3 linked regions of the Macaca fascicularis genome follow. The protein of the gene in region 1 purifies or fractionates together with the protein of each later gene. This does not show direct contact. Links are inferred from orthologs where the notes say so. Each region holds a gene or a part of one and is shown on either strand. Other genes may lie near its edges. The genes, in order: HSP90B1, CANX and CALR.

Region 1 (3,630 bases):
TGTCTAGGTCTCACTCCTGGGCTCCGTGTTCATGTGTTTAATTGCCTTTTAAATGATTCTACCTAAGATATCTAACCAGCAGCTTCTACTTGCATCCAAAACTGAACTCTTAATCCCCAAATCACTAGAACATGTGCTCTGAGACCAGCGGCCTAGTCACTCACTAGGCTTTGTTGTCATATCATGGCTACTTACTGGCCAGGTACCACTAAACTAATGAGCCTTTTGAGACAGGGAGGGAACCACATATAGACCATTTCCCATACTTAATTGGCAACACAAATATCAAGATATGGACTGACTACTTACTGAGTGGGTTCTAGGCTGGGCACAGTGGCTCACACCTGTAATCCCCACACTGCCCGGTAGAATTTTATGTAATAGTAGAAATGTTCTATATCTGCACTTTCCATTTTGGCAACCACTAGCCACATGTGACTGTTGAGTACTTGGAATGTGGCAGCGTAACTGGAACTGAACTGTACATTTTTAAAAAATAAGTCACATGTGCCCAGTGGCTACCATTTTGGATAGTGCGGATATAAATATAAATAATCCAGATTAATTTGCTAGCTTTTCTAAGGAAAATGTTTTCATTAATTAGGAATAGTTATCTACAATATTCATTAGGTTTCTAGAATAACAGTAAGAGCTACGAGAGTGCATGACTCCATTTTTCTCCAGAATATTTCAGTGCTTTCTCACCTTGAGAAATGAAAACAAACAATCTATTCAGAAGGTTGAGGATATTTTAATTTTCTACTTAAAACAATGTTATTCTCCACTTGAGGTAATGTAGAGGAGATTCTTCTCTTTACTGTATATGTGTTACATTTTAGCTCACAAACCCTTGTTGGTGATGGAGAGTTAACACGAATAATTAGGACATCTTGGATTACACTGAACTGCTGGCTATTACCATGGTATTTAGATGAATTTATAATTGGATCTTCTAAATGTTAGGTGTCTCTAAACATCAAATTTTTCTTGCAGCCTTGTCTTAAAAGAAGAAGCATCTGATTACCTTGAATTGGATACAATTAAAAATCTCGTCAAAAAATATTCACAGTTCATAAACTTTCCTATTTATGTATGGAGCAGCAAGGTAAATCTATATTGACTAAAAACTTCTATGTATTACCTTGGCAACATGTTTAAATATTCAACACTAAAAGAATGAAGGCGGGCTGGCGCGGTGGCTCATGCTTGTAATCCCAGCACTTTGGGAGGCCGAGACAGGTGGATCACCTGAGGTCAGGAGTTTGAGACCAGCCTGGCCAACATGGTGAAACCTTGTCTCTACTAAAAATACAAAAAAATTAGTTGGGTGTATGGTAGCACATGCCTGTAATCCCCGCTACTCAGGAGGCTGAGGCAAGAGAATTGTTTGAACCTGGGAGACGGAGGTTGCAGTGAGCCGAGGTTGCCCCACTGTACTCCAACCTGGGCAGCAAAGCAAGACTCTGTCTCCCAAAAAAAAAAAAAAAAAAAAAGAATGAAGGCAAAATGTGGTCTATTATAATGTTAAGGATACTCGCAGGGTTTTCTTGCAAAAACCTATTTTTTTGAGCTGTAATGTTATGTCATATTTCTGTAGACAAAATCAGAATTGTTAAACAAATGGATTTAACCATAATTCTTCTTTTATTTCAACAGACTGAAACTGTTGAGGAGCCCATGGAGGAAGAAGAAGCAGCAAAAGAAGAGAAAGAAGAATCTGATGATGAAGCTGCAGTAGAGGAAGAAGAAGAAGAAAAGAAACCAAAAACTAAAAAAGTAAGTCTGGTTCATCTCCCTGCCTAAGATACCGTTTAACATGTATACGCAAAACCAGGAAAACCCAAGTATGCACTGGCTGAGTTGAAGTCAGCTTCAGTTCCAGTGCTAAGTCCATGGAGCCAGCTTTTAAAATAAGACCTTTGTATGTTGAGTACATTGTCCTGTAGAAAGTTTTAAGTATCAAACCCAGGTCATTTTTATGAAGAATTTTCTGACTTTTATATATTGCCTGGGACTGGTGACTTATATGTTTGGAATTTTAAAATCTTAAAAAGCTTTCTGAGACCTCTTTTGTCTTTTTATCATGTAGGGATTAACTATAAAAATGGTTCTCTGGCTTGCTTAGGTAGCAGAGTAAGAAGTATTGGTCATGGTGGTTGAGAAATATTTTGTAAAATGTTGGATTTCTTTAAGTCATGAAATACGAATATGTAATATGTATTTCCTTCTAACCTCAAAACAAATATTTTCAAGAAACATTTTTGCTAGTTAAAAATAACAATAAAAAACCTTAATTGGCTTTTCATCAATTAGCAATTATCTTTTTGAATTAAATATTGAGAAAAATACTTTGCTTTTGATACAGTTGGCAGAAACCTTCCCAGATAACAGGTATCCTTTAGTGAGTTGTTTTTTTTTTTAATCTGGAGACAGAGTCTCTGCCACTCCGGCTGGAGTGCAGTGGCATGATCGTAGCTCCCTTCATTCACCCTTGAACTCCTAGGCTTAAGCAGTCCTTTCACCTCAGCCTCCCAACTAGGTAGGACCACAGACACATGCCACCAACAGACACACCACCATGACTGGCTAATTTTTTAAAGTTTTTTGTAGAGATGGAGGTCTTGCTATGTTGCCTGGACTGGTCTTGAACTCCAAGCTCAAATAGTTCTCCTACCCTAGCCTCCCAAAGTGCTAGGATTACAGGCGTGAGCCACCACACCGGGCCTCTGGTGCTTTACATAGTCTTTTAAAATCTACTGAAGCCATGGTTACTGCTCGGATAACCTTGGTGACTGCTAAGAGAGACTAATCAAATACTATAATAACTTCAGGTTGAAAAAACTGTCTGGGACTGGGAACTTATGAATGATATCAAACCAATATGGCAGAGACCATCAAAAGAAGTAGAAGAAGATGAATACAAAGCTTTCTACAAATCATTTTCAAAGGTAAATATAATTCCCTAGCTTCTGGTTATTAATGAATCACCCTATTAGTTTAATTGTGTATGGTATGTGACCATTGAATATGAGATGGTCCATTCCCATTTTTTCCCAGAGAGAAAATTCAAAAAAAGACCTTTAGGCCAACTATAATACGTCTACTTCTGGTTTATTGACCTACTCGTAAGTAAAATCACATTTATGAACCTTTGAGATTGATATCTCAGTAAAGATGGTCTTTGAGAGTAATTGGTTTCCAGAACACACCATTTTTACTTAAGTTGAATTATTATGCTCATCACTACTTCAAAATTGCTGCAGTTATTAAAATTCGTCCTAGCTCTTGGTTAATATAATAGTACATTACAAAATCAAGAATGTTTGAAACAGTTTTCTGGCTGTTTAAACACAATTGGTTTCCTTTTTATTGCTGTGTATTTTGTAATATGTGGTTTTTAAAAAAAAAATTATTTCGAGAAGGCATCTGTAGGCTTCACCAGCTTGCCAAGGGTTTTGTATGACAAAAAAAGATTAAGAACCACCTACATAGGTAGATGTGTGATTTCCACCACAAAACCCGTAAAACATGAAATCATGTTGTTAAGTGGCTTTTAATATAATCTTTAAAGAGCTTGCTTACGACATCAAACACTTATTGTGAGATCCTATGCCTAGGAATAATTACCAA
Region 2 (4,336 bases), on another chromosome or scaffold:
CATCCAGAATTTTATTCTGCTTTGAATAGCTGCTTCCCCAGGTAGACAGGAAACCAAAATTCTCCTACACAAATTTTGGGGCTGAGGGCAGGGCGCCTGGCTCATGCCTGTAATCCCAGCACTTTGGGAGGGGCGAAACAGGTTGATCACCTGAGGCCAGCCTGGCCAACATGGTGAAACCCATCTCTACTAAAAATACAAAAATTAGCCGGGCGTGGTGGCAGGCGTGTGTAATCCAAGCGACTCGGAAGGCTGAGGGAGAATCGCTTGAACCCGGGAGGCGGAGGTTGTAGTGAGCTAAGATCGCACCACTGCACTCCAGCCTGAGCGACAGAGCAAGACTTCGTCTCAAAAAATAAAAATAAAAATAAAAAATTGGGGAGCTGAGGGTTGGATGATACTAACTCATGCAAACACCAAACCCTGCCTTTCTTCCCCTTCCAGGTGGCAAGAGGGCTTTGAGATCAGTGATACATCCGCTGATTCTAGTGTTTTCCACCCAAGTTTTCAAGCCTGTGGGTGTCCAAACAGAGGACAAGAGATCAAGATCTCTAAAGGTCTAGAAAAACCCGGGGCCACTTCCATTTTGTGAGGTTCTCAGCATACTGAAAACTGAAGACGTGCTAAGAGTGGGTTACTAAAATGGTGGCGTATCTGAAATCTTTCCACGGCACCATGCCTTCTCTCATCCTGTCATCCCTGTATCTCAGGGCTCATCCTCTGCCCTGACCCCTAATCTCACTTCAGGAAACATAAATTGAAAGTTCAGATAACCTCGGATTGTGTTACTCTGGATTGTGTGTTATGCTGGGCGACGAGGCTGCGCAGGCTCCTGCGCCGAGCCATGACTCTGCAGGAACTGCGGCGCCGGCTCACACGGCGCGGAGCGGGGCACGGCTGGCCGGCCAGGCGCCCGCGCTGCGTTCTGCTCACGCCCATAGGGGCCCGCGTTCGCTGCAACCGGCCCTCCTTGATGGCTGATCGTCGCACTCCCACCCCTCCCGCCTGCTGCCGTTTGCCCCGTCAGCTAAGGGCGCGCGATGCGTCCCAAGTCTCGGCTCCAGCAACCAGACGGGTGAGGGCCGCTGGGGGTTGGGTTGGAACGCCCCCGAAGGCACCACGGCAACCGAGCGCGGGAACGCCTGTTAAGCCAGCCCCGCCCCGGGACGCGCGCGCCCGGCGCTCTCGATCCAGCGTGGCCCGCCCCTCACCTCCCGCCCAACCAACAGCCACTTCCTGCCTCACTCCCGACCAATCGTCACACTCCACGAAGAATAGCCGTAGGGGGCGTATGGGACGGTGCGTAGAGCGATGCCCACGCCGGCCAACCGGATGTCGGGGCTTGCGCGGGTGGGCGGGACTTGGCGCCGGCTGTGGCTACTGAGGGGCCAGGGGCGGGCGCAGGGCCGGGCTTAGTGCGGTGGGGCTCGCTCGCGCGGCAGCGGTGTCCGAGGCCTGTTGGTTCTGCGGCACGTGACGGTCGGGCCGCCTCCGCCTCTGTCTTTACTGCGGCGCGGGGCCAGGTGTGCGGGCGGGAAGGGGCACGGGCAGCCCCGCGGTCCCCGGGAGGCTAGAGGTGAGACGGGAGACCTGAGTGCGTCCTCGGGCCTGTGAGGACCCCGGGGGCTGGGAGCGCCTCTGCGGCTGAGGGGTCGGGCGTGGCCGGGGACTGAGGGGTCGGGCTGGCTCTTGAGGGCCCAGGCCCTGTCCGACGCGCCCGCGGTGAGCGGGGAGGCCCGAATTCGGGCCTCTTTGGTTGGGGAGCGGGCCCAGGCCGCGCGGCCGGGGTCGGGAGGCGTGGCAGGTGGCCCTACAGCCTTCCTTGACCTCTGGGAAAGCTGACTTATTCCTATGGCTTTGCTTCTAGGGCTTTCTTAGGCCTCTTTGCCTGCTGCCTGGCAGCCGCGAGGTGGGCTGGAGTAACTGGGTAAAAGTGTGGAGTGGAATCGGGCCTGCTGGGTACCCCTAGCAGTAGGGAAGGATGGTGTTAGACCGAGGGGGAATGTTTAGGATTAGCGTTACAGTTTAGTATTTGAAAATCCAAAGAGTAGACTGGACCCTAGCTCCCTGAAGAGAAAGGGGAATGTACTAGAAGGAGAACACGCAGTGGTTGAGAAACTTGACAGTTACAGCACCTATTCTGGAGGAGAGTCATCCAGTTGGAGATGGACAGGGCGTTAAAAGCAGGAAAGCACCCGAAAACTCATCTCATGCATCTGTTTTTACAGGGGAGGCCTAGAGGTATGAAATGACTGGCCCAAGGTCATGCGATTAGTTTAATGATGGTGCTGGGATTATAGTTCAGGGATAGGCAGTGCAGTGGTTAACGTTAAGGCCCTGGCTCAAGTCTTTCATTGGTCATTTGTTGCTCTGTGAACTTCGGCAGGTTTCTTACCCTTTGTGCCCCCGTTCTTGTCAAGTGATGGATATAATAATACCTGATGGATCTGTGAGGATTACATTCAGATATGTATACAATAAGGGAAGTCTGACATTTAGTAACTGCCCTATAATTACTGCAATACATTATTATAATCTGAATGCCTTTGGACCAATACACTGCCATCCTAGTGAACTGGTTCAGTCCTGTTTCCCAGGACCTGAAGTCACAGTTATGGTGATGGAAGAAACTGGGCATTGTGTATTAACTGTTAGGTATGACACAAGTGATTGCTGGTTGAGGGAAGTTAAACTGAGCTTAATATTAAAAGATTGAGAGGACAAGATGAACTATAGTTAAGTCTTTTTACCTCTGATTTAGGAAATGGAATATTTTGCTTAATTTTTTAATTAGATTTTTTTAAGGGGGAAGAATTTTATTGATCTTTAAAATCATTCTGTATCTCAGTCTTTTCCCAATATTGTTTGAGGGTCATGAATAGAATCAACTGCCATGTTAATCAACTGTTGTACATTTGGTGTAATTATACTTAGAGCAGAGGTAAAGGACTATGTGGGAGTTCTTTGCATCAACCAGGGTGCACAAACAAGCCAGGTAACTGGGTCATGAGAATGCCCGAGTGAACTGTGTGTGGGGTCAGTGTTGCACAACAGAAATTTTCTGACTTGGCTGCAGGTGGGTGTCAGCATTCCCCCACACCTTACTATCTTGACTCCACAGTTCATTTAGCGCATTATCTTCTCAGGGCCACAAGGGGTAAATGTTTTGACAAAAGTCGTTGCTGCCGTTTTGGCAATCACACTATTGCATCCTTGTAGTTAGAGTTCTCTTTGCCCTGGAAGACAGCTTAAGGGGATGAAGTGGCAGTTGGTGAGCATGAATTGCAGGCTCATGAAACTTGAATTGTGGGCCCAGTATGGTAGCTTTTTTTTTCTTTTTGAGGCGGAGTCTCGCTCTGTCACCCAGGCTGGAGTGCAGTGGCACGATCTTGGCTCACCGCAAGCTCTGCCTCCTGGGTTCACGCCATTCTCCTGCCTCACCCTACCGAGTAGCTGAGACTACAGGCACCCACCACCACACCCGGCTAATTTTTTTGTATTTTTCAGTAGAGACGGAGTTTCACCGTGTTAGCCATGATGGTCACGATCTCCTGACCTCGTGAACCACCCGCCTCAGCCTCCCAGAGTGCTGGGATTACAGGCGTGAGCCACCACCGGTAGCTTTTGTCCTACTTTTGTTTCCGTAACTTTAGGAATACGAAGTCTGCTGGGTTCTTCACCTTTAGGGGGCAATTGGGAGGGGCAGATAAAACGATGAACATGGAACTAGTTTAAAAAGTGTAATGAATTGGCTGGGCACGGTGGCTCTCACGCCTGTAGTTCGAGCACTTTGGGAGGCTAAGGTGGGCAGATTACTTGAGGCCAGGAGTTGGTGACCAGCCTCGCCAACATGGTGAAACCCTGTCTCTACTAAAAATACAGAAAAAAATTAACCTCTAGCTACTCTGGAGGCTGAGGCAGGAGAATCACTGAACCTGAAAGGCGGAGGTTGCAGTGAGTGGAGATGGTGCCATTGCACTCCAGCCTGGGTGACAGAGTGAGACTCCATCTCAGAAAAAAAAAAAAAAAAAGTGTAATGAACTGTGGAAATAGAATACATAGTTCATAATAACGCCTAGGAAATAATGAAAGTACCTAAACACAGTTATAGCCTATATAGCTTATGGTGAAACTTGTCAGGAAAGTCCTGGTTGAATTCTTTGTTACTGCAACAGATGTACTTTTTTTTTTTTTTTTTTTTGAGACTGAGTCTCCCTCTGTCACCCATGCTGGAGTGCAGTGGTGTTATCTTGGCTCACTGCAACCGCCGCTTCCCGGGTTCAAGCAATTCTCCTGCTTCAACCTCCCAAGTAGCTGGTACTACAGGCACATGCCG
Region 3 (4,164 bases), on another chromosome or scaffold:
CCACCATTTCTTTTTCTTTTCTTAACCAAAGACCCTTGCCAAGTCATTCCCCCACTCCACTTTGTTTTCCTTTTCATTTTTTCCTTCCTCCCTTTTCTGAGTCACAACCATTAGCCAGGAAGCACCCCCTCCTCACCCTCTTTCCTGGATCCCCCTCATTCCCTCCTTCCATAGTCCACTCCCGTGTTCCCAGGTCCAGGGCTTATTTGCCCAGAGTTTGGAAAACCCCCAGATCTCCTTTCTACAGCGTGGGGGCAGGGTACTGGTGCCAGTCACGTGCCTCTGGCTTCAGAAGACTCCAGACTGGGGTGGGGTGGGGGGGTCCTGCCCATCTCCCTAGCACCTTATCTTCGCTACCATCTGTGTCTTTTTTCCCTCCCCAAACGGAACCCCCTGCCCTCTCGCCTATAGTCGTTTAATTGCAAAAGCCAGGCCGTTTGTGGGAGACCACAGACAGCGACCTCCTTCATTTACCGGTTGAGACGAGAGTAAAGGGGCTGCTGCAATCTGGGTAATAACCCTATCCCCACCCCAGGAGTCACAGTCACATCGTTAAGTCTTCCTCCCCTCTTGTCCCAGGCCAGCTTTAAAAACGTTAACAGCATTTCTGCTGGGTAGCACCTGGCCAGGGTCACCCCCTCTGTCTGCTCAGGAACGTCTGTCACTTCAGAGAGGTTAAGTGACTTGCCCCAGTCACACAGCAGCAGTCTGATAGGCTGCCAGGGCCCTAGGGGCAGAATGAGGAGAGGGCTGGCATTCTTCCCACTGGCCCGCGTGGCTGTAGCACCGGGGTGCAGCGTAGCCCCAGGGCCCCAACCCATGAGCTCTCTCCTATCCTGGGCGGGGGTTGGGGAGCAGCAGTGGGGTGCTGGTTCCCAAATGCAAGATAAGAACTGGCTAGGAAAGCCTTGCCCAGCCCCTCCACCTAGAGGGAACGGGAGGAAGAGAAGCTGAGGCGGGGTCCCGATCCCGCGTGGAAACACCTGCGCTCCCGCGGGTTCTTTAAACGCTCAGATGGGGAACGACGCGCACGGGCAAGGGCGGTCTTAGGTTCAGGTCTGGTCACATGACCTGGCCTGAGGGGCTCGCGGCCCCCACCCCACCAGTGGGCGTCCCCCACAACGCGTGGTCGACCATCATTGGTCAGTGGTGAGGCCAATAGAAATCGGCCATCTGGGAACCCAGCGTTCCGAGGCGCAGCCTAACCTAGTGAACTGACGAAGGTCCAATGGAAAGAGACGGCCGTGGGCGCAGGCCAATGATAAAGTGTCAGGGGCGGGCCCAAGGGCTGGGTCAGGTTGGTTTGAGAGGCGGGTGGGTATAAAAATGCAAGGCGGGCGGCGGCGTCCGTCCGTACTGCAGAGCCGCCGCCGGAGGGTCGTTTTAAAGGGCCCGCGCGCCGCCGCCCCCTCGGCCCGCCATGCTGCTATCCGTGCCGCTGCTGCTCGGCCTCCTCGGCTTGGCCGCCGCCGAGCCCGCCGTCTACTTCAAGGAGCAGTTTCTGGACGGAGGTAACGCCTGGTCCCACCTCGAGGCCGTCCCGGCGACGCGGCCGGCCCCCCATCTCGGATCTGCGTCGTCGCCCGTAATTACCGCTTAGAGGGCCAACACAGTGGTCCCCGGCGACTGGAGCTGCGGGCGATCCCTCTTCTGCGTCCCTGGGGAACGCGGAAGGCGTAGCGGCCTCCCGCGGCGGGAGTTAGGGTTCGCCCGAGGATCGCTGAAGGCACCCGACGTGTCAACTAGAGGTTGGGGTGGGGAGAGTCGGGGATCTCCTTCCCTGTCCCCAGCAGCTTGTGGTTCTCCGCAGATACTTGGTGTGGGGGGGATTAGCAGAGCCGCGCTGACCTAACTCTCTAACCCCCCACTTAGACGGGTGGACTTCCCGCTGGATCGAATCCAAACACAAGTCAGATTTTGGCAAATTCGTCCTCAGTTCCGGCAAGTTCTACGGTGACGAGGAGAAAGATAAAGGTAAGAGCTTAGGAGTGGGTGCTCAGATCCGCGAGGACTTCCTGGCAGAAGTCCTTGTCCGCACATACACAGCCGGGACAGTCCCCTAGGAGCAGGGCAGGTGGAGGAAGTGGGGGAGTCGTCTGTATCGTCTAAATCGAGGATCCTCGCGGGTCAGGACCCAACGGTGACCACACTACCGTCCCGTCTCAGGTTTGCAGACAAGCCAGGATGCACGCTTTTATGCTCTGTCGGCCAGTTTCGAGCCTTTCAGCAACAAAGGCCAGACGCTGGTGGTGCAGTTCACGGTGAAACATGAGCAGAACATCGACTGTGGGGGCGGTTATGTGAAGCTGTTTCCTAATAGTTTGGACCAGACGGACATGCACGGAGACTCAGAATACAACATCATGTTTGGTGAGGGGCTGCTTCCTGGTGCTGACCTCTGTCCCATTAGTTGGAGGGAGACCCAGACCCCATTGACTTTCTTAATAGTTATGATTGTCTTTGGAAGGGGCGCTAAAATAATTAAGTCACAGCAACAATTTATTGCGTTATGATCGCAGATCTAGGCTGTTAATTAATTTGTGTCATTGTATATAGTTATTTCCCAATCTTACAAATGAGGATGTTGAGTTCTAGAGCACTGATTTTTTTTTTTTAATTTAAACTTAAGGCTTCACCCACAACCCATTCAGGACAGAATCAGGGTCTGAGTTTCTCTTTTCAGCCTTGACAGACCCGAGTTTAGGAACCAGGTCTTCCTTTTGTAAAGAGGGGTGAGGAACTCGAAATGGTGGGTAGTCTCTGACTTTTAACTGGATCTGCTTCACACCTAGGTCCTGATATCTGTGGCCCCGGCACCAAGAAGGTTCACGTCATCTTCAACTACAAGGGCAAAAACGTGCTGATCAACAAGGACATCCGTTGCAAGGTGTGCCTGGGGGTGGTGGCAAATGGGTGTCATGGGGAGGTTCAGAGGTCAGCCTGATTGAGGGGGGGCTGCTCACCTTCTTCCTTCTTCAGGATGACGAGTTTACACACCTGTACACACTGATTGTGCGGCCAGACAACACTTATGAGGTGAAGATTGACAACAGCCAGGTGGAGTCGGGCTCCTTGGAAGACGATTGGGACTTCCTGCCACCCAAGAAGATAAAGGATCCTGATGCTTCAAAACCTGAAGACTGGGATGAGCGGGCCAAGATCGATGATCCCACAGACTCCAAGCCTGAGGTTGGTGTTTGGGTGGGGGCTCTGCTCTCCACATTGGAGGGTGTGAGGACATTTGGGCCAACTCTGACCTCTTCATCTATCCTCCAGGACTGGGACAAGCCCGAGCATATCCCTGACCCCGATGCTAAGAAACCCGAGGACTGGGATGAAGAGATGGATGGAGAGTGGGAACCCCCAGTGATTCAGAACCCTGAGTACAAGGTGAGTTTGGGGCTCTGAGCAGGGCTGGGGCTCACAGTGGGGAGTGCACCAACCTTACTCACCCTCTAGTTCCCTTCTTCCTTCTGCAGGGTGAGTGGAAGCCCCGGCAGATCGACAACCCAGATTACAAGGGCACTTGGATCCACCCAGAAATTGACAATCCCGAGTACTCTCCTGATCCCAGTATCTATGCCTATGATAACTTTGGTGTGCTGGGCCTGGACCTCTGGCAGGTGAGACTTGGAGGAAAAAGGAGGATCCCTGGGGTACCTCAAGTGCATAAGATCACCCAAGGGGAAAGTGACAGGATACGATCACACCCCAGGCGGGTCTGACTCAAAAATGGTACTTTTTGTAAACAGTACTTCCTGGTCTGTCCCTGTGGAGTCCTCACAGCAATGCTTTTGAGGTTGTACTTCTTGTGAACTAAGTACTTCCCCAAGTACTTTTATGCAAATCAACTTCTTTAAATACCCCCAAAGAACTAGAAGGTGGTCAGGTAACCCACTTAGTTAGCTGGGGCTGGGCACAGTGGCTCACCCTTATAATCACAGTACTTTGGGAGACTGAGGCAGGAGGATTGCTTGAGGCCAAGAGTTAGACAACCTTGCTTGGCAACGTAGTGAGGAGACCCTATCTCTACAATTTTTTTTTTTTTTTTTGAGACGGAGTCTCACTCTGTCCCCCTTGCTGGAGTGCAGTGGCCGGATCTCAGCTCACTGCAAGCTCCGCCTCCCGGGTTCAGGCCATTCTCCTGCCTCAGCCTCCCGAGTA

The links.
Region 2: the proteins of HSP90B1 (region 1) and CANX purify together in Homo sapiens (affinity purification with mass spectrometry; 4 studies listed by BioGRID and IntAct, with this or other methods). This does not show direct contact. The link is inferred for Macaca fascicularis from reciprocal best matches to the Homo sapiens genes HSP90B1 and CANX.
Region 3: the proteins of HSP90B1 (region 1) and CALR fractionate together in Homo sapiens (co-fractionation; 4 studies listed by BioGRID, with this or other methods). This does not show direct contact. The link is inferred for Macaca fascicularis from reciprocal best matches to the Homo sapiens genes HSP90B1 and CALR.

The regions. Positions count from the first base shown.
Region 1 is NC_088385.1:110,862,567-110,866,196, forward strand, and holds part of HSP90B1 (endoplasmin), read left to right. Parts: intron 1-993; coding exon 994-1,105; intron 1,106-1,656; coding exon 1,657-1,776; intron 1,777-2,831; coding exon 2,832-2,948; intron 2,949-3,630.
Region 2 is NC_088380.1:186,570,674-186,575,009, forward strand, and holds the start of CANX (calnexin), read left to right. Parts: upstream 1-1,408; 5' UTR 1,409-1,576; intron 1,577-3,507; 5' UTR 3,508-3,617; intron 3,618-4,336. UniProt on the Homo sapiens protein: Calcium-binding protein that interacts with newly synthesized monoglucosylated glycoproteins in the endoplasmic reticulum. It may act in assisting protein assembly and/or in the retention within the ER of unassembled protein subunits.
Region 3 is NC_088393.1:13,336,072-13,340,235, forward strand, and holds the start of CALR (calreticulin), read left to right. Parts: upstream 1-1,349; 5' UTR 1,350-1,420; coding exon 1,421-1,511; intron 1,512-1,872; coding exon 1,873-1,974; intron 1,975-2,166; coding exon 2,167-2,370; intron 2,371-2,792; coding exon 2,793-2,887; intron 2,888-2,979; coding exon 2,980-3,189; intron 3,190-3,276; coding exon 3,277-3,390; intron 3,391-3,479; coding exon 3,480-3,623; intron 3,624-4,164. UniProt on the Homo sapiens protein: Calcium-binding chaperone that promotes folding, oligomeric assembly and quality control in the endoplasmic reticulum (ER) via the calreticulin/calnexin cycle.